Drosophila melanogaster: one gene and its partner. The protein of the gene in region 1 purifies or fractionates together with the protein of each later gene. This does not show direct contact. Each region holds a gene or a part of one and is shown on either strand. Other genes may lie near its edges.

What was found.
Region 2: the proteins of kon (region 1) and Grip purify together in Drosophila melanogaster (affinity purification with western blotting, with the first as the bait; 2 studies listed by BioGRID). This does not show direct contact.

What each region holds. Positions count from the first base shown.
Region 1 is NT_033779.5:18,493,149-18,510,298, forward strand, and holds the start of kon (kon-tiki), read right to left. Parts: upstream 10,831-17,150; 5' UTR 10,665-10,830; intron 8,290-10,664; 5' UTR 7,653-8,289; coding exon 7,565-7,652; intron 2,894-7,564; coding exon 2,697-2,893; intron 2,638-2,696; coding exon 2,407-2,637; intron 2,333-2,406; coding exon 2,151-2,332; intron 2,092-2,150; coding exon 1,503-2,091; intron 1,381-1,502; coding exon 352-1,380; intron 6-351; coding exon 1-5.
Region 2 is NC_004354.4:5,957,194-5,973,906, forward strand, and holds the start of Grip (glutamate receptor interacting protein), read left to right. Parts: upstream 1-9,085; 5' UTR 9,086-9,372; coding exon 9,373-9,544; intron 9,545-16,713. Other genes in the region: CG6067 (uncharacterized protein), read left to right, coding at 1-88, 158-776; fs(1)M3 (female sterile (1) M3), read right to left, coding at 1,103-4,243, 4,296-4,558, 4,616-5,095, 5,158-5,544, 5,596-6,088, 6,145-6,280, 6,354-6,964.

The DNA of each region.
Region 1 (17,150 bases):
ATAAACTGTGAAAGTGAAATCAATGCAAATTTATTGGCTACACTGGTTAACAAAGAAAGAGGACTGAGTTTAAGAAACAAAAACCTTTTTGGTATTTAACAACCAAATAGATTGGATAAGTGATTATACACGTTTGTTGTGTTCTATTAATATATAAATCTTTTTTTCTATTTTTTTTATCACACGCTTGATAAGACAACATACCGATTCATATTGGGCACTTTCAATAAAGATGATGTTTAAATTAAGGGCCCCGAAAACTCACATCTGTCCCAAACATGCAGCCCAGTGTACGGCAGCCCATACGGCCTAGCTCGTGTTTGGTTTCTTTTTTTTATTCCCCATACACACCTTGAATTCGTCTTGCCAGGGAAAATCGCTGCTGTGCAAATAGCGAATGTGGCCAAGGAGCAGCTGGCTATCGCTGAACCAGTCCACGTTCACCCAGGAGCCATCAATCTGCCTCAGCCGCTGGAGAACTCCATGCTGTGGAGCCTTAACGATATCGTACCGAATGTCGATGTGGTCATCTACAGCATTGGTGCCAATGGAGAGATTAGCGGTACTGATTGGCAAAGAACTCTTGTGGATCATTATGAGGCCCGTGTTATTGACTAACCGAAGCTCCAACGGATGTACCGAAACAGGCAGATAAACAGTTTCACTCGTCTCAATGCCGTCGGATACTTGCAGTTGCAGTTCATAGCTAAAGGATTCCGCTGTAGTGGAGTTGTACAGATACGATACTTTTCCCACATTCACTTCGGCCTGGGAGAAGGCTGATGTGGTCGCACCTCCAACTATAAAACAACCAAAGGTCTCCTGAGGACTCTGGGTCGGCAGTATGGTGTAGATCAGATTTCCAGGCTCGCTGTCTGGATCGTCAATGTTGAATAAATCCACGTCCAGTACCCTTTCTATTCCCTCGATCACTCGCAGGATTTTATGCGAATGCAGTCTTAATTGCGGTGGATCATTTATGGGTGTTATATTGGCATGTAAAAGGAACCTATGCTTGCCCAATATATTCTCCGGTATCTTGTGCACATCCCCAAAGATCTGCATATCCAGTGTGGCATGATCATTGAAGTTCTCTTGGCCATTGTGCACATACTTCAATTTATCTGTGGCCAAATCAACGAGGTTAAATGTGCGGCAAGGCACAAATATGGCTTTTTCAGCTGAGTACTGCAAGAGTTGTCCATATTTCGGCTGATGTACCACATGGAAAATAATGGATTGCTCGTTCAGACTTGGATAACGTCGCAGATCGAGTATAATGTCTATGAAGTGGGGCGATAGAAAGGCAGTTCCACCTTCTAAAAGCTGCATGGGTGAGACATAGAGCAGCTCTAGCTCTGGACTGGTTTCTGTGAAGATCTGTGAGAGGAATATAAATATTAATTAAAGAGCTTGTTACTAAGTTTCTACGAGCTCCTTATGTATGTTTAAATTGATATATGTATGTACATATATAGTTTTAAGGAATATTTTGTACATACCTTAAAAGGTCCCTGAAAATCGGCCTTGATGCAGTAGGACTGATCGCAGTAGCAGATGAAGCCGTCCACTCCGTGCTGACTGCAGATTCCGCTCTTAAGGCAGGGATTGTACTCCACGCATGGATACTTCCACAGGCAGTTGAGGGCCAGGCTGCGGGAGATAGTCATCTCGGCGAATCCCAGTGGAAGATCGTTGACCAGGATGTCGCGCATGCAGCCCTTGAAGCTGATCTCGTTTATCCGCAGTCCCTTGCTGATGAGCCGGCGGCGCATCTCCTCCTGAACGCCGCCAAAGAAGACGCTCTTCTCGAGATTTATGCTCGCCTTGGTCTCATTAGCGTGAGTTCCCCGATAACCGCTCGTGGCATCGTCGAGGCTTAGCTCCGCAATTGCGGCGTTATAGCGCAAGAAGACCCGATGCCATTTGCCATCGGATATGTGCTCATTTGTCATGAACTGCACCAGACTGCCTGCCTTGTTGAAGGTCACCTTCAAGTGCTGATCCTCTATTTCGAGGAGAATGAAATCATAGCCGCCGTTGAAGAAAATAACCCCAGCACTGGCCATTGTGCGGAATTGCAAGGAAAGGCTGTGAAAAGGTGAAAGATTTAATACGTAAAGAGGCAGATTTGATTCCCTGGTACCCACGTTTCTCCCATAGCATACGATTCTTTCATCATCAAGGAATACGAATCGTTCCTCATGAAGCTAATGCTGTCCTGAATGGACCCTTCGAACTCAGTGCTGCAAGTCCAGGCAACTCCAGTACTGGTGGTGTGACTCGTGCGATCCTTGGCGCGTTTGATGATGTTTATGTTGTTGTAAAAGACCTATTTAAATATTACAAAAATTATAATATATCAGCATTAGCAATTATCAATCAAAAACTAGTTCTACTACTTACATCTGATATACAGCCCCGAAAGCCGATAACATCATCCAAGAACTCGGCCGTAAAGTCCCCCACGCCTCCCAGAAATGTCCCGAAGTGGATATTGAGGGCGGCGAGATCGCCTGGAAGCTGTTTGCGCATTATGTATCCGTCCACCTGCAAGGTGATATTATTCTCGAACCTCTGCACCGCCACATCGTGCCATTCCAAATCGTTAAGCTTTTGCTTTTTGGGCGATCGCAGCTGTAACCGGAATCGCTGTAATTGCGCTCATATGTAAGGGGACTCGATCGATGGCTCACCTGCACCACATCCCGTTCGATTTTATAGCTGAAACTGATCAGACCGCTCTCCAGGCGCAGCAGGCAGTAGTCGGTCCGTCCGGCGGCCAGGAAGAGGAAGGCGTTCTCCTGCCTGGTGCGAAACTTGACGCGGATGTTCGTTGACATCTTGGCCTCCTGCAGCGGCATCGATACGTAGCCATCGCCGAAGAGGGAAACTGTGGGTGGATAGGATAGACATAGACATGGGTATGGGCAAATTGAGATCGCAAAAAAAATATTTTTATAATTAAAAAAAATTGCATGCATAAGTAAGATATATTGTGGGTTAAATTCAGCTCTTTGTTCAATCAACAAGTGTTAGAAAGATGTTTAAAAATGTTGAAATTGTCTTAATTTATAGATACTTCTAATACTTCTAAATAATGTTCGCTTTCTTATGAATTCTGGTTGTGGTGATTAAGTTATGAATATCCTATAATATATAGAAGTTTCACGTTTCTTTTAAATTTCTTCTAATTATACATTCTTTAAACTGAATTCAAATGACAGATATGGATACATTTGCAACTGATGGAAACAGATACACTGACCAGTGCACATAATGTTGCAAGAGCTGCCGCCAATTTGATTGGCAACCGCGTTCTATTGCAATCCGTATACAAATTTGTCCAGATCGGTGGATCGTTTTAGATCAGGCCATCAGCTGTCGGGCTGTCAGTCAATGTCTGTCGAGGTCACTCAGTCAGTCAGTCAGTCATTTATCAGGCTATCTATTGAGAGCCATCTTTTGTATCTTGATTTGCGTAATTAGTTGTGGGCTTGAGTCGAACGTGTCTTTCTCGGGAACATTCGTATCTAAAAAAAAAATAAAGCAAAGAACCTGACAAACTTCGAACGTTGTATGAATAATTTCCCATTTCTCGTTTGACTTTCGAGTCAATCCCACCTCGTAAAAATTGCATGATTAATGATTTTCTACATTCTGTCGTATGCTTGTGCAATAAATTATTTCGGAAACAAACATTTGTCAAAACATGGAATTCAACTTTGCGCGAGACTCGATAAATATTTTAAGAATTTCTCTAACCACCCTGCGGGAAAATGGAAAATGTTTGCTGGCCATTTGTTTATGTGTGTTTTAAGCTGCTGCTAGGAACGACATATTGACCTAACCCACATAGAAATCGTTGGATAAACATGAAACAGTTGCATGCGAATGGCAGACAAGCACCAGACTGCCGGATAAACAGGCACAAAGCGAAATGGGCAACAAATGGTCAACTATGGATGCTTCTTTGGCCGTACCATTTTGACGCCAATTAGCAGCAATCAGGCGTTAAAAGCGGCGGAAAACATAGGAAAAACACTTTCCCATCTGCGGGCCCAGGCAGTTGACCCACATTAATGCTCGGCTGCGCTGTAAATGCTACTTTTTCATCTTCAGATGATGCGCGTGCCTCAACGCAAAACAAAGGCGATCCAAGATGCGGAGGCGTCTTATCGCTGGCCAAACAATAACACGGAATATGGACGCGGAATACGTCACCGCACATTTGAATACCCTCCAAAAACTCCGCTGTTGCGGATATAGAATGGGGGCATGAAAGCTTTTAAGGCCTAAAAATCTGCATAATGTTTACATTTCCAACAAACTTGAAGATTCTTCGTTTCTGTATCTGTATATTGTAATTGAAAAAGAATAAGTACCTTTATAGTTGGATATACGATCTGTAAGGCAAACATTGACCAAACTCAATACTTAAGTATTTGACTGTAAGTGGAAAATCGGCGATTGCAAGATCTAAATGCTTGTCAAAAATTAGCTTTCTTCTTGTTAATCTCGCGCGCAATAATCACCCCTTTGTGACGCCAAACACATGCCTTTTCAGGAAGTTGGATGCTCAACAATAAATGCAATTTGCATCAACAAAATGTGGTGCAGTCGGAGCGGAGCAGCCTCAACATCAGCATCAACATCAGCATCAGCGTCAGAAGTCATTCCAAATGTCGGGCGGCAACAAATGAGACATCATCAGGAAAAGTCTGTCCAAAAATGGGGAAAACTTCAGAGGCGAGCACACGACACAAGACTTATGGCCACAGATGCCGGGCACCTCTCCACCCACTCGGGAAAAGCATAGGAAAACCCCCGACATCAAATGCAACTCCCCTATCAAATGCTAAATTTATGTTTATCTTTTATGCAGCACGGAGGTGGAGCTGGCTAGGTAGCCAGCGAATATTTATGTTATGGCCAATGTTTATTTTATTTGAGTTATATGTCGCTCGGTGTCCCCATAGCTTTGGAGCTATTCGGGTTTCTATAGGTTTTATGATCGTGTCGTTGCTTCGCTTCTCGTTTTGGTCTTTAATTAATTCTCCTTTGGTGGCCCGCCGAAGTCGCTGTTCATTAAAACTTTATCTGACATTGGCAATTTATAAATTATTTTTTCCTTTTCGTAGTTTTCATTTCACTAATAATGTCAGAGTTTATTAGTGGAGCTCGTGATTTGTGGGCTTATTACGTGATCTTGAGTGGATTTTTGTTGGCTGTGTGCAGTTAATATTTATGGAGATGCGAGTTCTGCTTACGGACGTTAATAGGCAAATTGATGGTCACACAAGAGATATGCTTTATTGGCTAAGAGATTGAGGTGATCATATAAGGATTTCTCTTGAATAGAGCACCACACATTAAATGTTGTTCAGTTTGCTAAATCTTTACTATAAAAGTAGTATCTTAGATATTTCCCACAGATGAAACCCATTTAAGTTTTATTCTACGAAATATTCATTCTAAGGAATCCCCAAAGGCCTTCTAAAATTTTTTAGCTGGCCATAATCATTGCAGTAATTCCTGTGATCTTCCAAGCAGTCATTAAAATAGTTTCCTCACCCCATTCACAATCGCGTCCACATTCTGATGGCCCTCGGATGGCTTAAGAGATCAATCTAAATCAAATAAAAACCGCACTGAAGAGCCCCATTGAGTTGGCATTTCCCTGCCGCTTCCCTTGTTTTATAATCTCCAATGTGCGAACATGTGTCGCTATCGCCAGGGCCTTCAGCATAATTAGACTCTGGGGCCGCATAAAATTCAATTACTCAATTATCTGCGATGGGTAGGCTTCAACTATCGACAATTGAGCACCGCATCGGCAAGTCATAAAGACACATTTTCTCATGACTCAGGGGGATCTAAAAGGAGAACACACATTGTCGCCAAAATAAATTATTGTATTTTATATGCAGGCAACCGCTTTTTACTGCGCCTGCAGTTAACATTGGGCATGTGTTGATGTTTATATTGCAAATGCAAATGAATAATCAAGAGGCGACACACAGCTAGGCAGATGGCGCGAACCAGATACAAATACGGATACAAACGTGTAGATACATTTGTATTCACACAGTTCTATGTTAAATTTGGCACAGCGCTTTGCGCGTGTAAGTGATTTACATTTCACGTATAAATAAAAATATATATTTAAATGTACACATAAAAAATGAAATCTGTATATTTAAAAGAATATACACAAATTTTTTTAAACAAATTTGATAAGTAGCGCAGAAACTACGGGCTAGTGAGCGAATGTAGATATAACCCATTTCAAACAGTATATTTGCATTATATCCTTGGTCTTATTTATTATTGTGTACAAAATGAAAAAGCAGACTAAAAAAATCGAGGAAAACAATTTGCGCCTGCCGCGAATGATTCACGTTTGGCTTCTTAGCCCCCAAGTGACGTCACATCCCAACTAAAAATATCATTAAAAACACATTTACGCCAAGACCAAAATATATCTCGTACATGTGTGTCTCCTGACTGTGCTGATAGAATGAAAATTAAGAGCACGCCTGACTTTGGATAGCTGTGGCGGTGCACCGCACAGATACTTTGAGTTTTTCAGCTTCGGATACTCTGCGTTTCCCCAGGGCCAGCAACAACAAAAGGCAGCAGAGAAGCAGAAACGACGACGACAACGAGAAAAGTGCGCCCCAAGTCAAATGTCAAGCGTGAAAAATGCGTTAAGTGCACTGCAGCGGCGCATTGTAGTTAAGTAGTTGGATTTTATGGGCCGGCCAGGGTTGCCATGGAGCATTGCGAATGCCAAACGGCGGGGATAGCTATACAGAAAAATATCTGAGATAGATAGCAACAGGAAGGAAGCCCACAGCAGACAGCGACCAGTTGGTCGAATTAGTCAGAGAAATGGATTGACATAAATCTTTCAAAGTTCAACAGGTCACCGTGAAATACTCGTGGGAATAGCTGCGTAGCTGATTGTTTCGCTTTAAGTGTAGGGCAAAACATAAGCTTAAATTCCTCGAACTCTAAGGCATTGAAAATATTCCTTAAATACTAGTAAATCTTCCACAAAGAGTACAAATTAAATATAACCTCTACTCTATCATAGTAAATCCAATTATTTAAAATATTTTTGATATTTTAAAGTTTCGTACTGTACTTTTCAATCGAAATTCCGCTTAGTTGGCCCACTGTATCTGCGCTATGGCGCACGCGAGTAACACCAAAATGTATGTGGCACTGCACCATTTGCAACTCTTTATTTTGACTTTTATTTATGTCGGCTTCGATGGCAGCCAAAGTAAATGCAATTTGGCTTCAGCTGCTTCTGCCTCTCTGGACCGCATTTTTATTTTTTTTTTCCGGCCAATTCGTGGCTGGCCATATTTGTAATGAGCATAAATCGTGCGTTGATCATTTGCCATGATAAATCTCATGTTTATGCGCGGTATTAAGTTCTGGGGCGCGTATCTCTGGCTACCTGACTGTCGTAACATTTAATTAACTGTACGTTCTGTGTCGCAGCTTCTGGTTACCTGGTTTTTATTAAAAAAGTTAGTTTTTTCGAACTCACCTTTCATGGCTGCGACAGTTTGCAATTGCAATATGGCGAGCCATGCCAGCCACAGCCATCCGAATCCTAATCCACGGAGGCGCGACATTCCGTTGCAGCTGCTTTGAAGTTATAAACGCGCGAAGATGGTGTGCGGCTGCTGGAAAGGATGATCGGATCGGATCGGATCGGATCGGTTTGGAGGATGGGGAACTGGGACTCACAGATCCGGAACCTCAAGTACCACTCGCGCTTCGTTCGTTTTCGTCTTTGTTTTTCGTCTTTAATAATTTTGCGTGTTAATTGATTTTTCATGGGGCCACGCATCCGTCGTCGTCTTCGTAGTCTGGGGGCCTCATAAAAATAGCATCATCGGGGGCATCGAGACATCGGAACATTGAGGTTTCCTCTCTAACAGCGGCACAGCATCACGTCCTGGCCCGCTGGCCACATAGACAGATGCTGCATATCATTTCGTTGACAGAAGTCATGCAGGAAGGGGAATCACCTCGAACGTTGCCACCGACTGACTGGCTGACTGACTGACTGACTGACTGTCGCACTAGCTTCCTTTGAAGCGTCTGCTCCTCTTTACTTCCTCGCCCCTTTGAACACACACTTTGCAGCCAACTTTCGCCCGATTACGTTTCAATTTCGTTCGAGTTTTATCATAAACACATTGGACACTGACGACTGATGCGACTAGTCGTTTATTTGTTATTTCTCTTGGCAACTGCTTCACTTCACTGTAATTGGAAATAGATTTATGGGCATTACGCATTTGCTTTCCTTTTTATTTAAATTTTCACTGGTATTTATATGGCACGTTTTATGCATTTATAATTGGTCAGTTGGGTAAATGACATCTACTAGATTTGAACATTAGGTATTTATTAATAATATAATGGAAAATGATTATCACTACTCCATTAAAACTTTATAATAATTTTTCAATCCAGTTATTTAATGAATTCATTCGCTGACTCGGCCATGTTTATTTTCATTGATTTTATGCTCAATTTGATTTTATATTCCTCGGTTATTATATACAGCTTCCACTTGAGTCATTCATTTGCTATTTTAATTGCCATAGATTTTAAGCCAAACAAATCTCAAATAAATTCAAGTACCCGGGACCCCGATGCTTTGGGGTTACTTATGAAGCTACGTATGTATACCATTGATTAGCGTATCTACAGATACTTTATGGAGACTTAATTGAGTTGCTGCCGCAGCAAGCTGAGGCACGACTATGCTCCTCCACTTCAGTGGAAATTGCTGCACAGTTGAGTAAAATTTATTGTATTTTTTCGGTGGTGACGGAGTGGGGGGATCACCCATAAAAAGTGGCCTTAAGTGGCCGGACAGCTTAAGCTCTTTCCCAGCAATACGAGGGATTTGGTCTTATATGAAGTGGAATTTCTAGTTCAAAATTTTGCAACACCAGTCAAAGTTCATGGGCCTTGTTTCGGTACGGTAGCCGAGAAGTGTTCATAGGCCCAAAATAGGCACTCTTTCAAGTTTAGAATGCAAATCGAGAGGGACTTGTAATTTCGAAGGGAGACGTCCCCAGAGGAAAAGTCAACTTCGGGCGACGCCGAAACGTCAACAACTGTGACTGGAAAATGAATTATTTACGCCGGGGGTATCTAAAAATACTGCGCCAGACTCTGTTATGTTTATGCATTTATTTCCCAAGGCAAACTGCAGCACGAAACTGCGGCAGGTTCGACATCATGAGGTCAATTGCACAGATACTGCCTCCAGGAATATCAGTCGTGGTGTCTTGCATTCTCGTTAAGTTCGCTCTGCTAATTCAGCTTGTTAATTTTTATATGCACCGCCCAAGTTCTTGTCGTTCCGAATACTTTTATAGCCCGTCGCAGCAGTCAAAATACAATTTGAAACGCCTTGCCGCTGCAGACGACACCGAAACCGAAAAAATAAAGTGACAATCGCCAGGGTGCATTTTATGACAGACGCGTGTTCCCTCTTTCCGACCAAACTTTTTCTCCCCATTAACATAAAAATTAATAAATGTATCTACCGGATAGTCGGAATCTGCCAGCTGCCGCTACAAGCACTTTGGGAAAGTTCTTTCATACTAGTTTATATTTTTTATGGCAATTAAAAATTGGTGGCACACAAGCTTTTGTGAAAACAAAAGGCCAACAAAATACCGCTCTTACCGAATCTAAAAATTGATTTGATAAGCCATGAAAACGGCGTTTTCATTTGGAAAATTGGTAGGCGTCGCTACCCACGCCGATTTGTACGCTTTCCTAACTCAACAAGAGACCTCCAAGGTGTGCGGACTTTTCCTACTCCATCTCAGTTGCAGTCGTTGATTTAGTCACACTCTTTTCGGGCACTCTGATTTATGATCGCCGAGTACTGCGATTGATGAATGGAGTTGTGCTCTGGTGCGATTTCAGCACCATATGTCACAAATATGAATTTTATTGGTGCATATATCCACGGGCGGAGTCAAATGGGTACAGTTTAAATTTTGGGCAATCTTTTAGCAAAAGGAAAATTTTAAATAATTTTAAACTTTTTTCTTATGGGATTGGGTATATTTAGTTATTATTCAACTTTTTTTTGATACTTGAATGATTCTTGAATGTCATTTTCAAGATTATTAATTTGAATTAAATTTAATTCAAATATTTTTTTAGTTGGCACACAGTTTCTGTTTTTCACATTGGGTTTTCGGCAATTATTTTTATTTTCCCAATTTTGATTCATTCATTTTCTCGACTTTCTGTCCGCGATTTCAGCACCTCATTTTTCACACTCTGTATGCCTTAAAATTAAATGATTTATATTTTGCCTAGCTGCTTCTGCACACAGTTTTCGTTTACTTCCGTTGAGATCACTGACTTTGTTTGACTTAGCCCTTTGGCAATTTTCACAGAATCATCAGAATGGGCGGTATTCACGGTCAATTTGCAAAGTTCTGTATCTTTTCGTATTTTAAGATTTATCTACCAAACGCACAACAACAAACGCTTTCATTCACAATGAGTTTTCAGCCGGAATTCTTGACAGAACAGTGCCGACCGTAAAAATGGGGAGGAAAGCCAGAAACTTAAAAATAAATTAAGTTTCTATTTCTTACACATATCCACTGGCCCACTCACGTTTGGAAAAACTCTGAAGGGGCGTGCGGTCAGAGTTTTCGGCGTTTTCCGATTGCCGCCACCCGCGCCAAGAACCAACCGAATTTCCCGCTTTCCGATAAGCAAACGAACCGAACACGCCGACGATTTCTCACAGACTGAGCCGAGAGGAAAGAAAATTCCGCACGCAGTAGTGCGCTCGCTCGAAGTGCCCAATGAGCCCCGGACCAGACCCCATGGTTCCCGTTCCCTGAAAGGCCGCCGATGCCTCCGATGTCGATTTGGTGCCACCACTCCATGGCGCACCCGCGAGTGACTTTTGTGCGCTCTGCGAACGCGCGAACGCAAACGCGAACGCGGCCCAATATGTATCTCTATCTAGATAGCAGTGATGAGCTGCCCGCTCGCGCAGCCAAGGGATGCGAAAGGGATACGTCTGGGAATCAACTGGCTGATCGGAATGAATCATCAACATTAAGGACTTTATAAAAAACTCATTTAAGGATGTTATCTTAGAGAAGACACCATTGTAAGTGTACGTTTTAGTCAGAGACACCACTTAAAGTTTCAGTATGTAGTAAGCATGGCTTTCACAATTATTTGCATTTCTTCAGCAGAAAACGAATTTGCATTGTCGTCATGATAAAATAGTAAACTTTTTACTACTACACAATTGGCCCTGGAATAAGATAAGATATAAGAGGTACTCACTTACTCATAACCAATATAATTTTTTCCAGGACTATACACAATTTAAAACTTACTCTCTATATGGTTCTGTGTGTCATTTATTCTTGGTACTACAAGTGAATCATTGCTGGTAAAGTGAACACCACGCACAATTTTTGGCATCATTAATTCTATACTATATGATTCTCTGAAAAACCATTCACCCGTTTTCCAAATTTGAAAGACTCTGTGCTCATCACTGATACACCGCTGATGACACTCTGTTGTTCGGCTGCTCATTTTCATTGCTGGTTGCTCTCCCCGTTTTCCCCCCTTTTCCTTTTCATTTTCATTTTCCTGTGCAGCACGCGAAAATACGCGGATTGAGCAATTGCGAGCGCCAAGAGGCTGAGGACTTGAAATTTTTCAATTTGTTTAGCGGTGCTTGGACGCTGCTCTCTGATGATCTTCATCTTCATTGTGGATAGCAGGGGTCCCATACATGGTAAAAAATGTCCAATTATTGTATAAATTGTCGAAGAAAGTTTAGGGAAATGATGTACTTAACCAAATATTAAATCATAGTTATTCTTCCAAGGTTTTCACACAATAAAAATATTGTATTGCTTATAAAAGACTAGATATAAGTCCAATTATGACAGTGATTTTTCTTTCGGTGCACCCACACATGTGGCTTCAATTTGGCTGGGCCATCGTCTTTGCCTTCGACTCTGCCACATGTTGTTTGCCTTTCTCTGGATGTCTCTGGATGCCGAGTGATAAAAATCTCTACCATTTTTCATCAGCCTATTAAGTTACATAAGTCACACGGTCCCTGCTTGTTGTTATGCCCACCGTCTGCCCTGTTGTGTAAATATCCTTTTGGCGTGCTAATGAACCCTTTGACACCAGGAACCAGCAAACGGCGACCCGCACCCAGCGATCATTCGACCTCCCTGACGGCTCTCAAAAATTCCTACTGACAGCAGATGCCACATAAATCAGGCGCTGCGAATGAAGAATTCGCCGTGGTCAGCTCATTAATAAATTAAGTGCATAAAATCACACAAAATCACCTAGGGAAACTCCTAAACCAGCTAGTGCACCGAAAAAAGTCAATCGTTTTGACGAAAGATTAACTTTTTGAATCGGTCTTAATAAGATATGATTTGTCAAATTAAAATAATTACGTTGAAAGCATAAGTGGTAGTGGCTCCTTAATTGTGGGCTCTATTTTGATTTTAAGCTGATTTCAAAATAATTTACACTGTTTGATTTGGGGTATATCGAATTTTTCCCAGTGTGCCTTCTATTATTCGCCCCCTTTTAGGGCTGAGCAGAGCAACTGCAGCGCGAAAGGAAACCCTTAGGGGCTGTTCCTGATAACGGCGACAGCAACGACTCCATATCACGCACAATTTGTGTTCGGGAAAATTGTTCCGGAGGAGTGCCGGCGAGAGCGTCTACGTGGATCTAGGTTAGGCCACACAGCTGTGGCATATGTAAAAATAAACACATAAAACTGCACTTTTACTAATTGCTCCAGGGAAGCAAAGAGCACCACCGTTGAAAACAGAACGAGAAATGCTGAAAATGCCTTGTGTGCAATACCCAAAAACATTCGAAACAAAATCGACGATAAAGCCCCAGTGAGACAGATACGCAGTCAAATGTTTTCCGAAAGTATTATGTTTGTGGCAGGAAAACTTCAATGTTCACGTGCTGTTTGCATTCAGTGTTGTCAAGTGGTAAAGCCATATTTCAGGGTATTTGCATAGACTATCATAATCATAACACTAATCTTAACACTAATAGATAAAGAGCAACTCTGCAAGGGTTATGGGTCAAAGTTCTATCACCCAAAACGGGGCGTTTATTATGAAAGAATATTGGATGATGGAGAATGCATACAGAAAAAATGGTTAATTTATATATCTTAAAGATTACTAATATTCTAACGACAATTTTTAAATATTTCCGAATCCACTTTAATGAATTACTCCATTAGATATGTAAAGAAGGCAAGTGAGCCATGAAGAATTTCCAATCGAGGCCTTCCTTGTGGCCACTGGTAGTGCTATCTCGAAAGGAAGTGGTAAGTACATCTAGCATAAGTACATTCCAAAAGGCCCGTGCATCCTTTTACGCCTGAACAGTTTTTATAGTTGTTTGCCTATATGTAACCAAATGCTGGAAATTCCTGTGAAATAGGGGAGTTCCTTCGGCAGTGAATCACTTTGAGGGCGTGTCTAGTGTTCTGGTTCAAAAGGCTATGTTGTGTTAAGGTAAAGAAACTAGGAAACTATTTATATGCAGTGACCATGTAATTTGCTCATTAACAAATTGCTTGAGTTAAAGCCCATCAGAAATACAGCAAATAATTGAGATTGCGGGGTGGTCACTGAACCATCGAGTATCCGCAACCACTTGAGTTCTGTTTACAACCCTTAGAGTACCACGCATTGCGAGACCATCTCGTCTGTCACATTATAACTCAATTTTAAATTGTGCTGAATTCTGCTTTCGACATATTAAATTAATATTGACACATTGACAGCTGCCAAAACAAGATTCTCTCCCTTCAAGCCTACAATTTTCTGCCACTTCGTGGGCACTTCGACCACCCGCTGATTTCGTTGGATTCGAGTTTTTCCCGATGCGGGTTCGGATCGAACTTCTCAAATTCGTTGACTAATCATGCGCAACGTTTGCTATTTGGGTGAAATTTTTAATTGCCCCGCGCAACGCAACGCGATCGAATTGAAAGGCCATCGTTCCGTGGAAATTGTCAGTGTCATCGTGGGCTTTGGTTCCCATTTTATGCTCGATGGTGTCTTTATCTAAAGCGCGCCTGGATAAAGCGCACGTTGCCTTAATTGATTGATAGATACATAGATAGATGCAGACTAATGGCTAGCATGAGATACAAAGGTCTCGCTTCTATGGCTTTGTTTGATTTACCCTAATTTGGCCGTTGGGTGAAGTGCAAAGTAAACATTAAATTGGCGCAAACTGACAAATAGTGCTCTGTATTTTAATACCATTTTAGTACACTACATTTGGGCTGGGCTTTGGGTATGAAATCGTTTATGGTCCAGTTCCATTGATCACAGCAATCCTATATGTGGGGTTTGGTGTTTTAGGCAATTTGTCGTTTGCACCTCGTAAATGATTCAGAGTGAATCATTTGATATTGTCGCTAAGGGTTGCAAGAAGATAGATTTATTTTCTAGTATAAAAATGTATTTCTAAATATTTCTAATAACTTGATTATTGACTGTAATGCCCGATCATTCAATTAAATCTCTTTAAATGACTCTAAGCCCCTTTAAGCTTGTTTGAGAACTTACCTCTGCAGAATTAAAAATATTTAATGATTTATTTAATTTGCCGCTGATTTAATGAGCTGTTTGCTCCAGCACCATTTTCTTCTCGCTTTTTTCCGCCAACATTTTTGTTACAGGCCATTCATTTTCATTGTGGCATGTCCACTGCGATCTTATGAATGAACATTTTCTTTTTGGTTTGGTGGCCTCTCCCGGCGATCGCTCGCATCAAAAGTGCCGTTCTTGGCCATGTCTTGAGTTGCCATCAAAACTCCGCCTGGAGCATGGTCGTCCATCATCGTCGCCGGTTTGGGTGAACGCCCACGCCCATGCCCAGCCACGCCCTGCGCCCCTTTCGCCCCTTTTCGAGAGTGGTTTCAGCTTTTTGTGACTCGCTTCAATGAAGCGTGCCAATTTTCAATGAAATGTTTCGGCCTCTTGTGTTGTATGCCCTTTTTTTTAGACGACTTTGAGTTCTTTCAGCTTGCCTTATATTAATTCCCCTCTTTTTCTTAATTTGTTGCATGTTCTCAGTGGGCTTTATGCCATTTGTGTTATCTTGGCATTTCTCCTCTCCATTTGTTTGCTTACCATAAAAAGTCAACAAACATTAATTATCATTAAATGATATGACTTATCGTGAAGTGAACTTGACCGCTTCCAAGGTGAATGCACAAATAACAGTGCATTAAATTCGTGTTATACATGTAATGTACCCATCAAAAATGTCGGGTTTCCTTTCCGTTTGCAAATAAAACACGTTTTTAGCGAACTCAATCGATGGGCATTGTTTTAATTCTGACGAACAAGGAAATGCGATTAGTAATTGCCCACGGAAATCCCCTGGGAAAGCAACTGATACATAGAAAGTCGTGATTTATTGCAAGATCCTGAAGTGGTTTATATTTTAGTAATTTATTTTTTTATTAAATTCTTAGTTGATAAGAATGTGAATGGCTCATCGTTGCCAAATGATAACAATAAGTTACAGAACCTAAAATGCTCTTATAGTCTCAATGATACTATTTTTAAAACATTTGTCTTTATATAGGGATATATAGGGATATATCCAATAATATATTTCTGGCAGTTTACCGATTTCTTTCTTGTTTACATTATTAGTTTTAACTAAATAGGGGGATCACTGTATCCTGATATCAGAAAACTTCTTTCTATGCTCCTTAGAAGCTCATGATTGATTTAATAAATTACCAATGTTTTAAAATTGGTTTCTTTGTTTTGTCGATAAGACCCAATTCTTGTTTGGCTTGTTCGTTTTTTGTTTATTGTTGAAACTCGCACTCTGATGAATTTTTTAACTCCGTTGTCGAAAGTTCATTGGCCAATTGGCCAATTCTATTTCGCAGTACAAATTATATGTTTGCAATTGCTGATCTGTCGACCGACACGTGAGTGGGCATCTGTGTATGTGTAAGGAGGGAAACTGACAGGTAATAATAATTTTGGCAACACTTGCAATCAACTGTATCAATATTGTAATTATCCCAGCACACATACGAGACAATCAAAATCAAATAAGATTAGGGCAAACAATGAGCGTCGCCGGTTGATTCGCCTTTGTATTTTTGTATCTCTGTGCCAGGGCGGCACTAACACTCGAATCCCACAGATACGTCTAAGCTTTTGCTTGTATATGCATTTTGCATCTGCTGGCGTCGACTGAGACTGAGACTTTGACTGAGGCTAATGCTGATTAAGTTGAGGTGTTCGGGGCTTTGTGCCGCCGAGTTTAGTGATAACCGCACTTTGGTGCCCAACGGTCGCGTTTCGGGCTAAAATTCATTTTGAATTCGAAACGTGCTAATTTTGTTTAATTCCAAGTGCAAATATTTTCTGGTGCTATTGCTGTGAGACAAAGGCAATTGAATACACTTAAGGTTAATAAATAAACAAGCAATATAAATCAGACATTAGAAAAGCGAAAATAAATAAAGAAATCTACAATTCAGGTGCTTAAAAATAAATCATACAATAAAATATTCATTATATGAAATTGAATTTTCTATTCAATGATACGATTCTACTCAATAATAATATTAAATAATTAAATAAATCCCTTTGGATTTGCTTAAACGTGTTTGCATAACACAACAATTTTTGGGAAGCATTTGATTACCAGAAATTCCAAACCATCGAGAATAATAAATCCAAAAAAGTTTGCAGCTCCAAGAGCTGGATTTCCACAATTTTATTTATTTCGACCTAGAAAATATCATTAAAGATTAATAGGTTAGTTTAAATTGCTATAATTGTACTAATTAGGTCATTAAAAAAATCGTAACCAGTTTTCATTGCATTTTTTAATTCCGGTAATGTAAAAGGGCTTAGTTAAGCATTATAAAGTGTATTTTGTTGAAATTTTTGCAAAATAAAGAAGGAAAAAAAGCAATTTCATAATCACCAAAACTTTCACATTCATCTCACACAAAAAGTTTTACTTTCAAAAAACATTAGCTTTGACCCTTTTAA
Region 2 (16,713 bases), on another chromosome or scaffold:
AACGGGACTACTTTGGCAAGGGCCACATCTGTTCGGGCGCTTTAGTGGCGCCCTCTGTTGTGCTAACCGTCACTAGCTGCATCTTCAGGTGAGTTGAGTAAAATTTGTATCTTTTTATTCTCGAGCTGCTATCTCACAATTTAATTCACCTTAACAGCCAAGTGAAAAAGTCATACTACCATCCGTCAGAACTGCGAGTTGTGCTCGGAAGCCCCCAGAGATTTGCGCCCAATGAGCAGGCACTCGTATTCGGAGTGACCCACATCCACCAGCCTCCAAAGGACCTGGCTCTTGCCATTCTTATGCTGGACAAGGATGTGCCTGAGAATCTTCCATATATTCAAGCAATTGGTCTACCTACTCCTGGAGCCACTTCCATCCTGGACTCGGATCATCATAATCTTCTACAGATTAACACCTGGGGCTATGATGGCGATATTCGCGAGCTGCACGATCTGGTCACATTGAATGCCACTCACACATCCTGCCATCAGCATCAGAGTAAATCGCCAAGGATTTGTGTCCAGCCGAAAACCAGCAACTACATTCGTGGCCGGCTTTACATGGATGCCGGTGCCACGCTGACGGAACGGGATCGTTTGTTGGGCCTAAGAAGCATCGACGGAGCCTTCGAGGACGTGGCTAGCCATGTGGAGTGGATACTGGCCAAGATTGGGGACGGTGGCAATCAAAATAGCTCCATCTGGGGCATCTTGGGATTCTTGGTATTCACCGGCTACGTGATCACCATCAGCAGAAAGAGCTTTTCAACCTAAGATGCCTTGAGATCTGAAACATGGGGGAAACTAGCCAAGTAAGATATCCAAGGCCTTTCAGTAGTGTAATGCCGAGGAGTGTGATAATCTCGATCCGATCCAATGAGTGGAATAATCTTCTTAAGCCATATTAGCACCTGACATTTTTAAACTATGCTGTAAAGATGTGCTAGTAAGATATAAGTCCAATGATATATGTTAACTTTGCGTTCCCAAAGAAATAATACAATTTTGATTCAACAAAAATAAACAATTTATTAAGATACATAGAATAAACATAATTATGTACAGTACAAATACACATAGATTACAATATGATACAGATTTTAGCCCAGTAGGGCTTTCACTAGACTACATTCCCGTTTCTTTCCGCAGAGCAGCAGAATAGGGGTCTCGGCGGCTTCAAGCATTTGACCAGATTTCACCAGTGACCACGCCCACTGGTCCTGTTTCTTAATGCCAAACGTACGCTGTTGCCAACCGCCTACTTCATTATAGCTGAAGAGGTAAAAGTGTTCTTCCTCCGGCTGCGTTACTACCAATAGATATTGCTCATTTCCAACTTTGAATGGAGTTAGTTGTTGAATGCGCTCCTGGAAGCTCAACTGCTGGATGGGCTCAAACAGAATTTCCGCGGAATGAGAGTACCGTTTAAAGATAGCTATGTGTCGACAACCCAAACAGCTGACCAGAAGTTGGTTTCCCTGCATCTCTGCCAGGTCATATGAGCCCTGGATCAGCTGAAGCATTTTGAAGTTATGATTTAAGGGATCCCTATAATGGATGGCCAGGACAGGACGATGATTACTCATGCCACTGGTGAGTATTAGATCCTGTCGGGACTCTACCCCCATTCGAACCAACTTCATAAGGCGCCCATCTGCTGGTAGCACGGATTGCCAATCGGTGAGACTACAGTTGCTCCTCTTCAGACGCAGGACACGAACTTCCTCCTCGGTGCCCAAGAGCAGCAGCACCATTTCCCCCATTTCCAGCAGTTCCATGGCTTCCACTGATTGACGCATTCCCAGCGTATGCGTTTCATTACGGCAACTAATTCTGATCCTGCTGCGCAATCTTCGTGCTGGGCGATGACAGTGGTTCTGCACCTTCACCCGGATATCTCCGGAGTGAAGTCTCATCAGTTGATTGGACACACTCGAGTTGGCCAGGAGGACGCGACGTTCGTGGATCAGGAGCTTGGCTTGTAAAGTCCTACGCTGACATGGAGCAGAATAACCCAAGGGCAGGCTCACCTGCAGTTCCGAAGATCCCCTAAAAGGGCCTTTTACCCAAGTAGACTCCAGACTTTCGGTGTCGTGATCCAGGTAAAGTAGCCTCCTAGGCGAAGTTTGATTACCCAATGCTAGAAGTTCTTGAAACTCCTCTAACGGATTGCTTTGCACTTCCGTCGCTCGCATTCGATTGGGAATTTGACTTTGAAGTCCTGCTAAAACTAGTCCACCTGGGAAGAGAGCTTTGTCCAGAACTAGACTATCGATGTTGTAGTCCTTATTTCGAAAGATGCTGCCCCTGAAACTTTCGCTAAGCTCACGTCCATTCAGATTCATCACATGACCGGGTCCAGTGAACTCCACTCCTCCACGAAAAGTCTTGGCACCCGTGATGCTCTGCGTCCGATTGCTATGCCGAAACACCAAGTTATCCAATTGAATGCCATTGATAGAACGTAGAAGAGGCTTTCCACTCAGCTGAAGGTGCTCAAAAGTCAGTGAACCGAATACCTCCAATGCGTCTCCCTTTAAGGGAATGCGATGTTGTAGAAAGTAGTCCAGATTCATGTTGTTTACGGTTTTCAGATTCAGGTCCTGTTCGACAAAGAGGTTCTTGAACGTTACGGGTGGCCAGGATTGCCCCTTGCCCTGCTGGTATATACTTTGTATCGGAGCTCCATTCACTTCTGGATACTCCAGTTGAAGTTTGCCTATTTTTGGAGCCTGATGAAAGTGAAGATCCGCTGCAATGGCTTCTCCACTGGAGAGGCGGTACAGTGAGGCATTGAATCGTCGTATATCGATTCCGTTTACCAGCTCAAAGTGTGCATCCTGCTCCAAGTGTAGAGTATTAGCTCTAACTAATCCCTGTAGCTCTTGCGGAGCTGTTATCACCTGGGTTTCGTTTGTGGGGCTCCGGCGAAGTAGGGCATCTTCGGCCAATTGAGTGAAGTTAAGATCAATTGGCAGGGAATGCTTACTTTGGATATCCTTTAAGTAGGGTTCCTTCAGTAGAACGTGTCCGGCAATGGTCTGGTTGCCCACTCTCCTGACTGCATGCTGGCGTAGGTAGTCTAGCTGGGATTGGGACTGCTCTTCACCATCCCATAGAGCATCGCCGGTGACTATCAAATTCCGCCAGGGAAGTTGCTGCACTTGCTCCACTCGTTGCTTGAGATCATTTAAAACTGCCTCATTGACAAAGGGACACTTTAGGCTGCCATTGATGTTCAGTTGCTTTAGGTAAAGATCTCCTTTTAGTTCTAAGTCTTTGCGTGTGTCTATAAATTCCTCCTTGGGTACCCCATTTATTCGATTTACATCCACATTGGTGGCCATCATGCGGTCGAAAGTGTAAGCACCACTGATTTGCTGGGGTGTCATTCGCAGTAAGGTGTTGTCGAGCAGGGAACTTAGATCCAAATTATTGATGTGAGGACTTTGCAGGGCATCATTTATTTGGACATCGGCCATGAATGTCTTTTTACCCCGTATTTCCGCGTTAGAATCAGATCTCACCAGGCGATCTAGGTACTCGTCCCATTGGATTCCATTAATGTTCTGCACTTGGACAGCCTTGTCAAATCGTACATTTCCTTCGATCAATAGTTGCTTGTGAAGAAGTAGGGGCTGTTCACCATCTTCCGAAATTTTGGACAGCAGTTCATCGAAGGGCAATCCATTAAGTCGCCGAAAATGAAGATTCTCCAGATGTGGGGTTTCGGTTAGTTCGAGGCGTTGCAGGCTGATATCGTGACCAAGCAGCTGTTGCAATGGCAATCCATTAAGATGACTCACATTCAAATGATCATGAACGTTGATATCATTCGCCACCACCACACGGGCAAAGGTCTTTGTACCCGTAAAGTTTTGGGTGGTGTTTGATTTCACCACTATTTCACTAACAGGTACTCCGTTTATTTCATTGGCTTGAAGTGCTTGAACAGTCAAAGGTGCCTGGAAGTGTTTGTGCCCCGTGATATTAACAGCGTCTCCATGACTCACTGCATCTTTTGCGATCTCCGCCAAACGGGAACTGTAATCCCTGCAAATAACATCGCCCAGTATGGTTGCATTCATAAAGATAATGTGTAGAGTGTTATTTGGGTGAGTATGTTGGTTCTGCTGTCCTCCGCTTAGGAGATGATCCCTCACAGGATGACCGTCAACATAACTGGTGGTCATTGAGGGAACACTAACTCTGGCATGTCCAAAGGTCAAGTTAGTGAGGTTCTGCGGAAAGACTATTGTCATTAAAGTGAATTAAATGAAGTTGAATCTCAACCTGTGGCGTCTGATCAAGAAGGTACGTAGATTGTATATCTTTTCTGGCGAGAGATTGGTTTCCGAGCACTATAAGTGAGTTTGCCGTGTCTCGCAGGACATTTGTGACCGTCAGGGATCCGCGGATGGTTACCCTGCCCGTGTAGTACTGTTGAAGACGTTGTTCCATTGGATCGTCGAGTTGTCTGGGCTGTGGCTGCCACTTGCTCGTATTGCCCACAAAAATGTCACCCGAAACACTCATCTGATTGATGCGAACAGGAGCTGAAAAATATGGATTTGTTAAATGATTTAATGGAATATATCAAGGAGGACACTAACTTTTTATCCATGTATCATTGCTACCGCGATGAAGTACATCGTGGGCAAAGTCAAGTCCATTTACTTGCTGAGCCTCCAAACGCGGAGCAAAGAAGGCGGACATGTAGATATTCGAACTGATCACCTGGGCACGCCGCAGATTAAAGAGACGATCCACCACGAGTCCGTTGAGCAGAGGTGTCTTTAGACTGTTCACCCGGACTCGCGATTGCATAACCAAGCGTCCTTCTATCGAAGTGTCACGACTGCGCAGGAAGAGCGAGTCCAAAAAGTCGTTCCACTGCACTCCGTTTATCTGTTCCACTCGGAGATGACGAACTACACATTCACTGCCACTGGTTTCCTCAGGCGCAATCTGGGCACCACTGGAGTTGCGGAAATCTTGGGGAGTAACCAATTGATTTACCCTAAGCTTTTTCGTCTGCAAAGGACTGTTTCTGATGGTCAACATAGGTGGTTTTGAGTTATCCAAAATGTGGCCTGTAAATTAGGAAGAAAAAAAAGATTTATATCATATTCTATTCCTGAATTCCCATACTTGCCTGAAATTAGCTGTCCCTTGTAGATAAGATTGCCCACGCGCAATCGTCGCGCTTTGAGTGTCTCCGGCTCATCGTTCTCGTTTCCTGTCCCAAAAGAGCGTGTGGTTCGCCTGGTCTGGATCGCTTTAAATCGTTGACGAAGTTCCTCCAAGCGTTGCTTTAATTGGGTGGGCGTGCGCAGATGTTCGTCCACCAACTGAAGTCTTCCTATTTGTCCTTGCTGCACTAGATGCAGTGGCGTGTCGAGGTGGATGGCCGATTTGCGTTTTAAGATGTCCACAATGTTTCTCAGGTTTTCTGTAGAGGAACGACGGCGCAGCAGGAGGCCACGTAAGGCATTGATGGACTCCTCAAACTCGTGACGATGCAATTGGACAACACTTAGATCTGTAAAATCACTAGTTTCAAATTTCCACTACAGAGTTATATTAAATGTACCTTCATCTGGAGCAGCGCCCACTTGGTTGGAGATTTCTTCCACGCCACCCAATTGCACAGTTCGGATCAGATCACTCGAGGATCTTCGATAGGCCAGCAAAAGAAAGGTCTCATTGTGCAAGTTTTTATGAATAAGTAATCCACTTGGATCCGCTTCTCCAGCCACCTGAAATCCACTATAGCAATCCAGGCGAGTGGAGCTGAAGACGATCACCTCGCCATTGGCACGGGCACCAATCAAAAGGTGACCCTTTTTGGTGGCACTCAATCGACGGAAACTCAAATCTTTTCGAGCATGCTTTCGGTACACCACAAATTGTCCATCCACCATTCGGAAGAAAATACACGAGGCAGATGCAGAGGAAGTACAGGCGATGAGGCAGTTCCTCCCGTGAAATCTAACAGCTTGGACACTTTGCGCCTGAACTGTCAAAGCCTGGCGTTGTTGCAGGATTCGGCTGTTTCTATCCAGCTCGTAGATTGTGAGCACCAGCTAGAGGGAAACATAAATGAATTAAGAACCATCTAAATTATTAAAAGTTATATCACCTTTGACTGGGAACCCTTTAAAGAACGACCAAAAATGATATAAAGTGGCTGACGACCAACCACTTGGAGAACGCGAATGGCGGGTAGAGTGATCTCCTCGAGTGGATTAAAGTAGGTGTCCAGCCACTCAAAGGTTCTGTGAGGAAGTCGTCAATATTATGAATGAATAATGAATCAATTTTTAATTGAAAATGTATGCCAATCCCAACCTGCATTTGCTGTGTGATCTGGTGTGATTGGAGGCCACTAGGAGGAGCACCTGATCTCCACTGGGTTTCAAAAGGTGCAGCTGTAGAAAAGCACCTGGCAGCGAGAACTCCTGGAGGGGCTCAAAGCTCACCTGTGTGGCTGGATCTTCGGATAGGAGCAGTTCCTTGGGCAACTGGTAAACCTCCATGGAATCATCCAGAACGATGGCAAGGAGCAGGAACTCCCGCCAGGCCACAACCTCTGCTCCGAGAGCTCTGCGACCACTGACCTGGCCCGCCAAGTAACCAAGCGGCACTAGACGCCTCTCCCCAGTGGCCACGTGCAGCTGAAAAATCTCGTGTCCATGGAGCAGTAAAAGTAGATCCTCTTCCGGTTCGCGGAGCACAAAGAGTGGCTTCTCATGGCGCACCATCATGTCCACAAAGGGCAGACGGATTTCCGGGCCAGAGCTACTGCCATTCAACCCATTGCGACAGGAACTGGGCAGCAGCTGGGCAGCACTCGGATCTCCAGCGACTTCTGCTGCTGATAATTCACTTTGTACTTGGGCGATATAGCTATTTAACACTAACACACTAAATAATGCTGCACACACGCTTGGCGAAATCATTTCGCAAGGATTGCAGGGACTGTTGTATCTAGTGATACTAAACTACAATGATATATTCAATCCATTCACATGGCACATTACTTTTGGTGTGCCATTTCTCTTGTTCGTAACTGTAAACCAATTTATACTTCGTGAGAGAGCTCTAGTATAACTGTAAAATGAAAAGAAATACTGTGAGTGACGGAAAGCGCGCGAAAGACAAAAACTCATCGAACAGTTGTTGTTATTCCGTTACAGTGGAATAAACAGAGTTACTATATGTAGAGTGAAATATGTATATTTTTGTAGTTCCTGGTTTTCCGATTTGAGTTCTCAGCCTGAATGTAGGCAACGGAAAGTGCTTTCATTTGTGCGCTCAACGAGCATTTTTCCCATGTGTCGCATTAGTTTTCCCCGATTTTCTCGGCACTCGTCAGTCAATCCGCGTCTCTCCGTCCTGCTTTCTCCGCCTGCAGCAGTGACACCTTGGACTGGGAATTAAATTTTTCGTACGGGGTTGGGCAGTGGGGAATGGGGCATATAAGGCTGGGGATCTAAAAATAAGGCAGACAAACTTGGAGAGTGCCTTCGACGTTTCTGCTGAATCAATCAGCTTCGATCATTAGTCGAGGTCATTAAAGACATTAAACCTCGAGCCACCAAAAAAAAAAAGATAGAAAGGAAGAGAGCATTTAACACGGAAGAGGGAATCGCATAAAAATAAATTTATATGTACGTATGTATGCACATACATACATATGTATGTGAAATATTTTGGGGGCGGAATGGGCCTTACCAAGTCACCCATAAATCCGCAGCTTTAACCTAAAAGGTGGCCACATTTGTACTTGCAGTTAAATCGGATTTAAGGCACATATAAATATGTATTAATAGGTGTACAAGAGGAAAACGGTATTCATGTCATCGCCCTCGGGGTCAGGATTTGGGGGCATCCGTTGGGAACACCCGCTGAAATATTTACTTTGCCCAAAATCTGATTGATCGCAGCATTGACATGTTATGCAAACAACATTCCAGTGTAACGAATATACAATTGTAAAATAAATAAGAGCAAAACATACAATCGGATGTTAAATTGAGGTGAACTTAAAATTTTGTAGATCAAAATTGGCTTTTATGTTTTAAACTTTCAAAATGTAACTTTCCTGAATGCCCTTTTAAGTTTGTACCATTTCTAGTTGGCTTAGTGCATGGCTAATACCAGCTGTTGGTTTCAGCAGATGTGCTCACTGGTTGCGTGCTGCCGATTTGGTTCATTTCATTTCGGTTTTTGTTGTGTCCTGTTTCTGTTGACCATTTCGAGCAGTTGCCGTCGCGCTTTTCGTGACTAATTAGCAAATTCGCGACACCCGTTTTGGGAGCATTTTTTTCTGCGTTCGTTGTTTGGCGTTTGGCGTCACAGGCCAAAACCCAAGTCACCCCTCCCCCAACACACTAAACCATTAACCATTTCGGACTACCGCTTAACGGTTAACAGAAGCAGCTGATTGTCATGCCTGCGGCTCATCAGCGGGCTCATAACGGCGCTTTTGGAGTGGCGGTCTGTGATTTGAGTGCCTCCCCAATGGGATACTCTTCTGCCAGAGAGAGGACGAGAGTAAGAGCGAGAGAAAACTCTTTCTCCAGTAGCCAAAACTCCCCAAAAAGCGCTCCGCTTACGCACCACTCTCGCTCTCCTTTTTCTCTTCCTTTTCTCCTCGCGAGTGAGTCACGCAGCTAGAGCTAGAGCTGGAAAAACATCGATGCTCGTCGCCGTCGATGTTTTCGATGTTTTATGGCGAGAACATTGACTATCGAAAAATAAACGAAAAATATTACTCTTTCTGTTCTTTTTGTGTGCATTCGTATTCGTATTAATAAATATGAAAATTAAAACATACAAATATATTTTATTATTACTTATTTATTTTCATATATATACATACACACATTTAATACGGGTTATACAAAAACTTTCGATTAACTATTATCTACAAATTTATCTAAAAATATAAACTCATTTGCAATAAAGGATTCAATAACAAAATTCAACATCAAAGTTAACAAAAATGTTCTGCAACATCGATACTATCGATGTTACATCGTTAATTCTACCACCTCTAGTACTGGCGGCAAGATCGCTCATTGTGCAACTTTTGGCCGTGCTCCGCGGACGTGCGCGCATCGTCAGGTTCAGTCGCATCGCAGTCGCCGTCGCCGCCGCAGCCGTTGAATTTCCAAATTGTTTTCGAATTTCCCGATATCGATTGGAAACCGAATTCGTTTTTAAATTTACTTTACCTTTTTTTTTTTTTTAAATATACAGTTTTTTTTTTGTGAAAATGCCAAATTTGCCATGAGTGTTGAAAAATCGTAGAGATCGCTGCGTTTTCCCATTTGGGGAGAAGTTGGAGAAAAGAAAACTCAAGATGAAACTGTGGAAATCGAAGAAGCCCATTGGTGGCTGTGTGCCCGGAAAATCGGCCGCCCTAAAACAGGACCAACAGCAGCAACAACAACAGCAACAGGAGTCGCACAACAACTCCTTCAATGGACACCATCATCCGCCGACGGACACTGCCTTGGCGCCCATGTTATCCGGTAAGTGATGGGGCTTTCCCAATCTTCGAATTTTCCAATTTTCCCATTTCCCCCAACCCACTTCCTTCCACAGCAGATAGCCAGCCAAAAATCATCTAAAAGCGCCCAACATGTGCGCTCCCATTTTCCGCTTTTCCGCCTTTTCGACTTGCCGACTTTCCGTCTTTTCCCCGCCCGCTCAGGGTTATCGCATTTCCGCCCAAGGTGCTTGCGTTTGGCCCTCAAGTGCTTGACTTTAGATATAGATTTGTATACAAATATCCGACGGTGTGTTTGCATCTCTATATCCAAGTATCCAAGCATCCAAGTGCTGTTGAAAATATAGTTTTCGCTCAGTGTGTGCTTGTGGGCCAAGACAATGTTTGACATTTTCAATTGAAAGTAATTGCTCGCATTTCGTTTTCATTTTCCGATCGCTCGAAATTTGTCAATTGCAACGCCCCTTCCCTCAAAGAAATAAAGAAACCCCCCATGGAGCCGATGGAGCTGGGTGACCTGACCCTTGATTACCCAGCGATTGGTTTAATAGGATCAGCAGGCAGTTTGATGGATTACCCGGCCATCGAATGGCAATCGAATTGGATTGCCAAATCAGTGAAGTTCAACGGTTCGCTGCTATATTGCTCTATATATCATGACTAATTGGAGCTGATCAGATAAGCAGATGATCAGATGCATTTCCCATCAATTGAAGGAAGACCTAATTGAATGGATTGCGCAATCTCAAAGAGAAATACCGAGAATTTGGTGTACCTATAATAAATTAGCTTGGAAGAAAAGAGTATCAGTTTCGCCCACCTCCATGGCTACTGTTTCAACTTTGACCTATCATAAGTTGAGATCTAGATAGGACACCCCTTTTTGAGGATCTTAAAAGCCGTTCCGCGAACGCTGTTCTCTTTTTATTTTCAGCTTTTCCGTTGATCTTTCGCGGATTAATGATCTAAAAGTGCCGCCAGGATGGACGCGAGGAAAAAGGCGGCTGGGATTTATGCCAGTTAAGGCATTAGCGGCGTAAAATGATGGCCCAACTCCAATTGCAACTGCAGTTGAACTTTCCAATGAATGAAAAGGCCAGAAGAGAAGGAAACCAGATACCGATGTGCTATGGGTGAAGTAGAGAAGCGCAGGAGATACAAAAGTATCTGCATCTGTTCGTGTGCGCGGGCTTAAATTGCATTTGATGAATTTATGGCATGGCAAGCGTAATTAAGCATTTAATTAAATATTTCTGATGCTCCGCATTGTTGTTGCTCCAACTGTTGCTATTGCTGTTGCTGTTGCCCCTTTTCATTGCTTAATTTTCTTGCGCGGAATGCCACAGATTGTATCTGGTAGATAAGGCCAAGTGCCTGGCCAGAATGCAGCTTCTGCTGGTGGCAGTTGGTCGATGTGGATGCGCTTACTGGGCCAGACAATCGTCAATTGATGCCAAATGACTAGATGAAGTCGTACAGCAGTGGTCAAGATAATAGCAGCTTGAATAGGTTTAGCTTAAGGCTTCATTATAATTGGTCTTGCTTAGTTTTCAAGTGTATGCATAGTGGAAGCTTGAAGGCCTTTCGAGATTTATTTCCCTGTTGAAACATAACATTTGATCTCCTATTGTTTCGACCCCCTGTGTAAACCTAATGGCACGCACGTTTGTATGTAGATGCATCTGCAATTGGTGGCTGTGGATGGTTGCCTATCCGAAGGCAAACAGAGGCGTGTACTCATCCAAAAGGGGGGGATCAAAAAGGGGGGAGGATGACCAGATGTCACTTGTTTACACAGTAATGACAGCTACAACAGCAGAAACAACAACTGCAGCGATTGATTTGACTGCTCATTTGACTCCCTCGAATGCAAACAAAGGCCTGAGAATATCGAAAGGTGTTCAATGTCAATGCACCGAACAGCCCAAAAACATCGGGCCCAAAATCAAACAGATGACAACTCCCCCCAATTGGAATCGAAAAAAGAACCCCTCACTCTCTTGTCCACTTTTATGGCACATTAAGTGCCCATAAAATCAACGACAAAACATTGGAAATCGTAAAAAGAGTTGGAACTACTCGAAAAATGTCGAAATGATATAATAGATCAACAGATTATACTGTCAGCGTTGACAGGCGGGCGATGGGAATACGATCTAAATTTGCATTGCTTCCCAAGGATTATTTCGGTAAAATAATACCAAAATAAATTAAAAAAATAAAATGCTAGAACATCTTAGACATTTTTTTTTTGATTAAATGACATTTGTCTTGGCAATAAATTGATACATTTTCACGGTGATAAATAAATGGTGAAAAAATGCAATTGAGGTCAGAGTTTCATCTTTTTTGTGATGGTCGAATCGAAAAAAGATCACGTCTGACATGGAAAATATTTCGAACTTATGAGGCGATTAAATTTATGGAATTTTGATGATTATTACAAGAGGTCCAATGACAAAAATCGGGAATGAATTGATAGTGGATAATTCCTTCTGTCTTTTACATCTACCATGTGTGTTCTTTTCTCAGATTTTATGCGATTTTTCATTGCATATGTCGATTTTTTATGAGCTGCATTGAATAAATGCTTGAAAGACAAGTAAAACGCCAAAAGAAAATGGGTCGCGTTCTGTCCTATCTATTTGTGGGTTTTTCCTTTGTTACTTTTTTATTACCAGTAAATTGAAGTGTTCGAATTTTACAACTGATTTGAAAGCAATTGTGATTTAACCATTTATCTGAGGGTATGTGAATTTTTTCTTTTTTACGATCGAGGGGGAGTTTTTAATTCCAAATGTTGTTCGCAACATGGTGTATTTTTTTTTTAAGTCCTTTCTATGCTTTAAGTGTTAGTTTTAAGTTTTTTTTTTTGTTGTGTATGCTTCTGTTTTGCTGCAATTTCCGAATCGTTGGCGACATTTGACTGCTGTTGATGGGTTTATTTTACTCCCTGGGGACGCACATCGCTCCTCCCGATTTTAAGCACCCTCGCCTTCGGGGATTTCATGCCATGCAGCAACAATAAAAATTGGGAGTAGGTTCGCTCATCCAGGGATTTTCATAATTCCCGGTCTATTTTACTATTTGTACTCCAAGGAATTGGGTGATATGTGATGGATGGAATGGGGTGAGATTGGGGAGTTTGGGGAATTGAGTGGATGGTTTAAGGGCGTCAGAGAAAAGGAGCGGGTTAACTCATTGCATTGTTGACGACGACACGAAGTCTATGCCTGCTTGGGTAAATATTCAAATATGTGTCCCTACACATGAAAAAATTTACATGTGCAACTTCGAAGGGTATGAAAAGTATAAGTATAATAAATATTGTGTTTAGGTTAGGGAATATAAGAGTTGTAGAGCTTCGAAAAACATTTCAATTTTCGGGTTCTTGGGAATACTTTTTCTCAGTGTAAGATTGTCGCGTCACTTCCCTGCTTTGTGCACCCCCCCCTCCCCCTTGCCAACCGTCCAGCTGCACTTTCCCATTTGTTTTTGGGCGTTCCCCCCACCTTTTCCCACTTTTCCAATTTTCGTGCCATGTGCGTAAGAGTTTTCTCCGCGTGTGTGCCCGTGTGCGAGTGTGTGTGTTTATTTTTTCGCCACATTGCGGCCATTGAGTGTAAACAAAAAGACAACAACAACAACGGCACGGCGGACATGGGCGCTGGGGAAGGGAGTCCGAAGTGCGTCGAAGGGAACTCAACAATTTGACGCAATTAAAAACAGTTGGTGCTATTTATCAGAGTTGGTCGCACAAGGGGGATTGGGAAAGAGAGAGGGTGTACTAAAACCCCCCTGACTTAAACCTCTAATGGAATTAATATAAATTAAAGCTCAAAATAAAGATAAATAAAAAATAAAAGAGAAATAACTATGAATGAATTGATATGATGTCCTTAAAGATCCCTTCTATAGCTAACTCAGCCTACGCCACTGAGCTTTGAGTGTTTTGTTTTCGAGTGCCAAAGAAGAGTGCTTCTTTTGTTTTGGGAGGCGTGAAAATCCTTTAGGGCCCCCATATCATAAAGCTGCCAAATCAAACGGAAGCGACGACGGAAGAAGCAGCACGTAAACAAAGCGAGCTCCAGGCAAATGACATTTGTGCCTGTTACCTCTTTCCCAGCCCCACCGTGCACAGTGGGCCGTATGGGCACAATAGCCACAGTGGGAAGGAATGGAATGGAATGGGTTGGGTTGCGGCTGGAATTGGAGTGGAATGAAATGGCAGCAGCTGCTGCCAACTGATAACTCAAAAGCAAAGTTCCGCCACAATAACTGTATAAAAGTTCACTGCACTTCCGTTGAACTCCAGTCGCTAGATGGAGGCACACCAACCAGGGTTCACTGTAGTCCACTGATTTAATAGGGATATTTCAATTCGAATGAAAGCGTTGCAAGTTAATGCGCAATTTGTAGAAATCAACTGAATGATATTCACATAGTACTTTAGAGTAAGCATAAGCATGTAATTATTTTCCTTTGACTTCCAAATGCATCGTGTAACTTTCCAATTTCCTCTAGCAAAAGTTTCCTTTCTCCGACATGTATATTAAATTTTTAATGGTTTTGGCATATATTCTAGCAATTTGCTGCAAAAATATATTCATACTTTCGGGCACTTTTCTTTTGAAGTTTTTTTTCAATTCTCGCCTATTTTTGACAATTACTTTGTGCATACCCAGAACCAATTTCGAACCAATTTTATGGTCACTTTTCCTTTGTGTGGTCTCCTCCTGTTTGTAAACAAATTGCTGGTCCTGCTGCTGTTGTTGTTGTTGTTGATGTTGTTGCAGTGGCATGTTGCAAACATTTTGCTGCCATTTATTTTTGTTTAATTTTCCTATTGCTGCCGCGAAATCTGCCACAACGACGTCACTCGGCAGCAAACATAAGTCGAGACAGAGAAAGAGAAAGGGTAGGGAGAAGGGGGGAGAAAATGAGAAATGGAGATGCAGACAGCAGGGGAATCACACATTTTAGATACACAAACTGATATCTACAGTAAAGGTTCCTACAAACGAACCATCTTTAAAGATAAATCAATTGAGTCTTGAGAAACAAGCCATAGAGTTTGCAAACTTATTTTTAAGAAAACTATGAATAAACAGCTTTTACCTATAGTTTCCCATAATGTTTTTTATGACTTAAATGCAAATCGCATAGCTTGAATGTTCACTTTGGAATTGAAAATACATTTATTTTGTAGAGCCGCCGAACAGACGCTGTCCTTTGTGTGAGACGGTCCACAATGCGCACGATCCGCGGCCCCTTTTCACCGCTTTTCCTGCCAGCCTACTCCATTTCCCCAGCCATTTTCCCCATTTTCCGCTGCAACCAGAAAATATGCGTAGTGAGGGAAAATGTCACAATTTCAACGGCTGATGGTGCAGCGCAGTGTAAAAATAGCAACAAATACTGAAAATAAAAACAACAACAGTCATGGAGCCATAGGCGTGTGCCAGGGGGTTAAAGGGGTTTCAGCAACCCCTCCGAAATCGGTATATGAAAACAGTGAAATATTCATTTAGTTGGCACCTAAGGTGCGCCCCTTAAGAAAACCCCAACTACGCCACTGTGTTCAGCACACGTTTAATATAATTTGTTGTTGTTATTGTTTGCGTTTGGCTCCTTTTGTCGCGTCTACAACTTGCATTTTGGATTAATTTGTAAAGTCTGCTGTTGGATGACAACCGCTCGCCCGTCTCTGTCTCATTAGGCTTCCCTCTCTGTTGCATATGCACTGCAGTTGCCATAATTATTTGCCTGTCTACCACCACCCACCGCCCGAGCAACTTTTCAACTTTTCCACTTACCACAACTGGCAAAGCATTTTCCTCACCCTTCTCAATTGTGTGTGTGCAAATATTTGTGGTCTTTCATGTTTGCCTAATATCTGGCATTTTCTTAAATTCTACCATCATACAACATTAAAGGTTCTTATAAATATTTACCACCACCAATCAGCAGCAACCCTTTAATAAAGTGTTACTTTACAACAGATAACTCCCTTATCGTGCAATCAATCAAATTTCATAACGATCGAATTACTTTAATGAGTTGCAAGTACGATTAAGTGGACGTTGGTACTCCCTGTTGAATGCTGATGATGCTGTTCACTTCATGGGAAATTCACTTTCCGTTTCGGGAAATTGGGAAATTGGATTCCGGCTATCCCAGTGGATCGGTCACAGTCTCATTATGGGCGGCATAACACTTCATTTCATCTCTCATAACCGCCAGCATTTGCCCCATCCCCCATTCCTACATACTCGCATATCTCATCCTATGAATAAATATCTTTTTACTGGTGGCCCTTTAATTGAATTTCGAGCTACAAATTTGTATGCATCCTCCCCGAAACAAATTTAACGATGTTTGTTTTTTCCCAATCACTTTCTGCGTGAAGTACTAAACTAAAACCGAAGCGTTATCGTGGCGACTTTGTCAACGGTAAAATCTCAATAGAGCTATCCAAAAGCGGACCTATTTTCATTTCGGGAAGTTGTTTGTGCAACAGAATACCCTGTCTTATCATCAATGGAAGATTGGTTGGTTTTGTGCGTGAGTTGCCAGTGCGGCCGGGGATCGGTTACGGGTAATTAACATTTTGGGGCATAAATCTGGGGCCCCTTACCGATAGGAGTCGGATTATTGGGCAACTGGTTTGCTGGGGTTAAGTGGACACTTGGGGGGAGGGGGGAAAGTGTCGCACATGGCGAGCGATATTGAGAAGTGCTGCTGAATTGTCAAATGTTCATTCTTCATTTGCTGAAATGAAATGTGCTGTACGAAATTATGACTCTACATATATGCACTGGGAGAAATTCGACATGCTATCGGGCATTTTTTAACAAATACTTCGACTTTCAGGCATATAACAGCTGAATGATATACATTTCAATAATAGAAGTTATAATTTAGTTATTATAACCTTTAAGTTGGATCTGTATTTTTTTTTTTTTGAGTGCACTTTCAGCTTTTACCCAGTGTTCCTCCCCCTTCGAAGAGGCATAAAAAAAAAATACCGAAATGGTCGTAAATCAATTTTGATGCAAAGTTCCTCGACTGCAACGCGACTTGGTGGCGGCGGCTCCACGCCCCTGCAACTCTGCCCCTTTGAGCTGCAACATCATCTGCGCCTTGAAATACTTTCGCGAAAAAGGGTGCTTTTTTCGCAGTGGGAAAGGA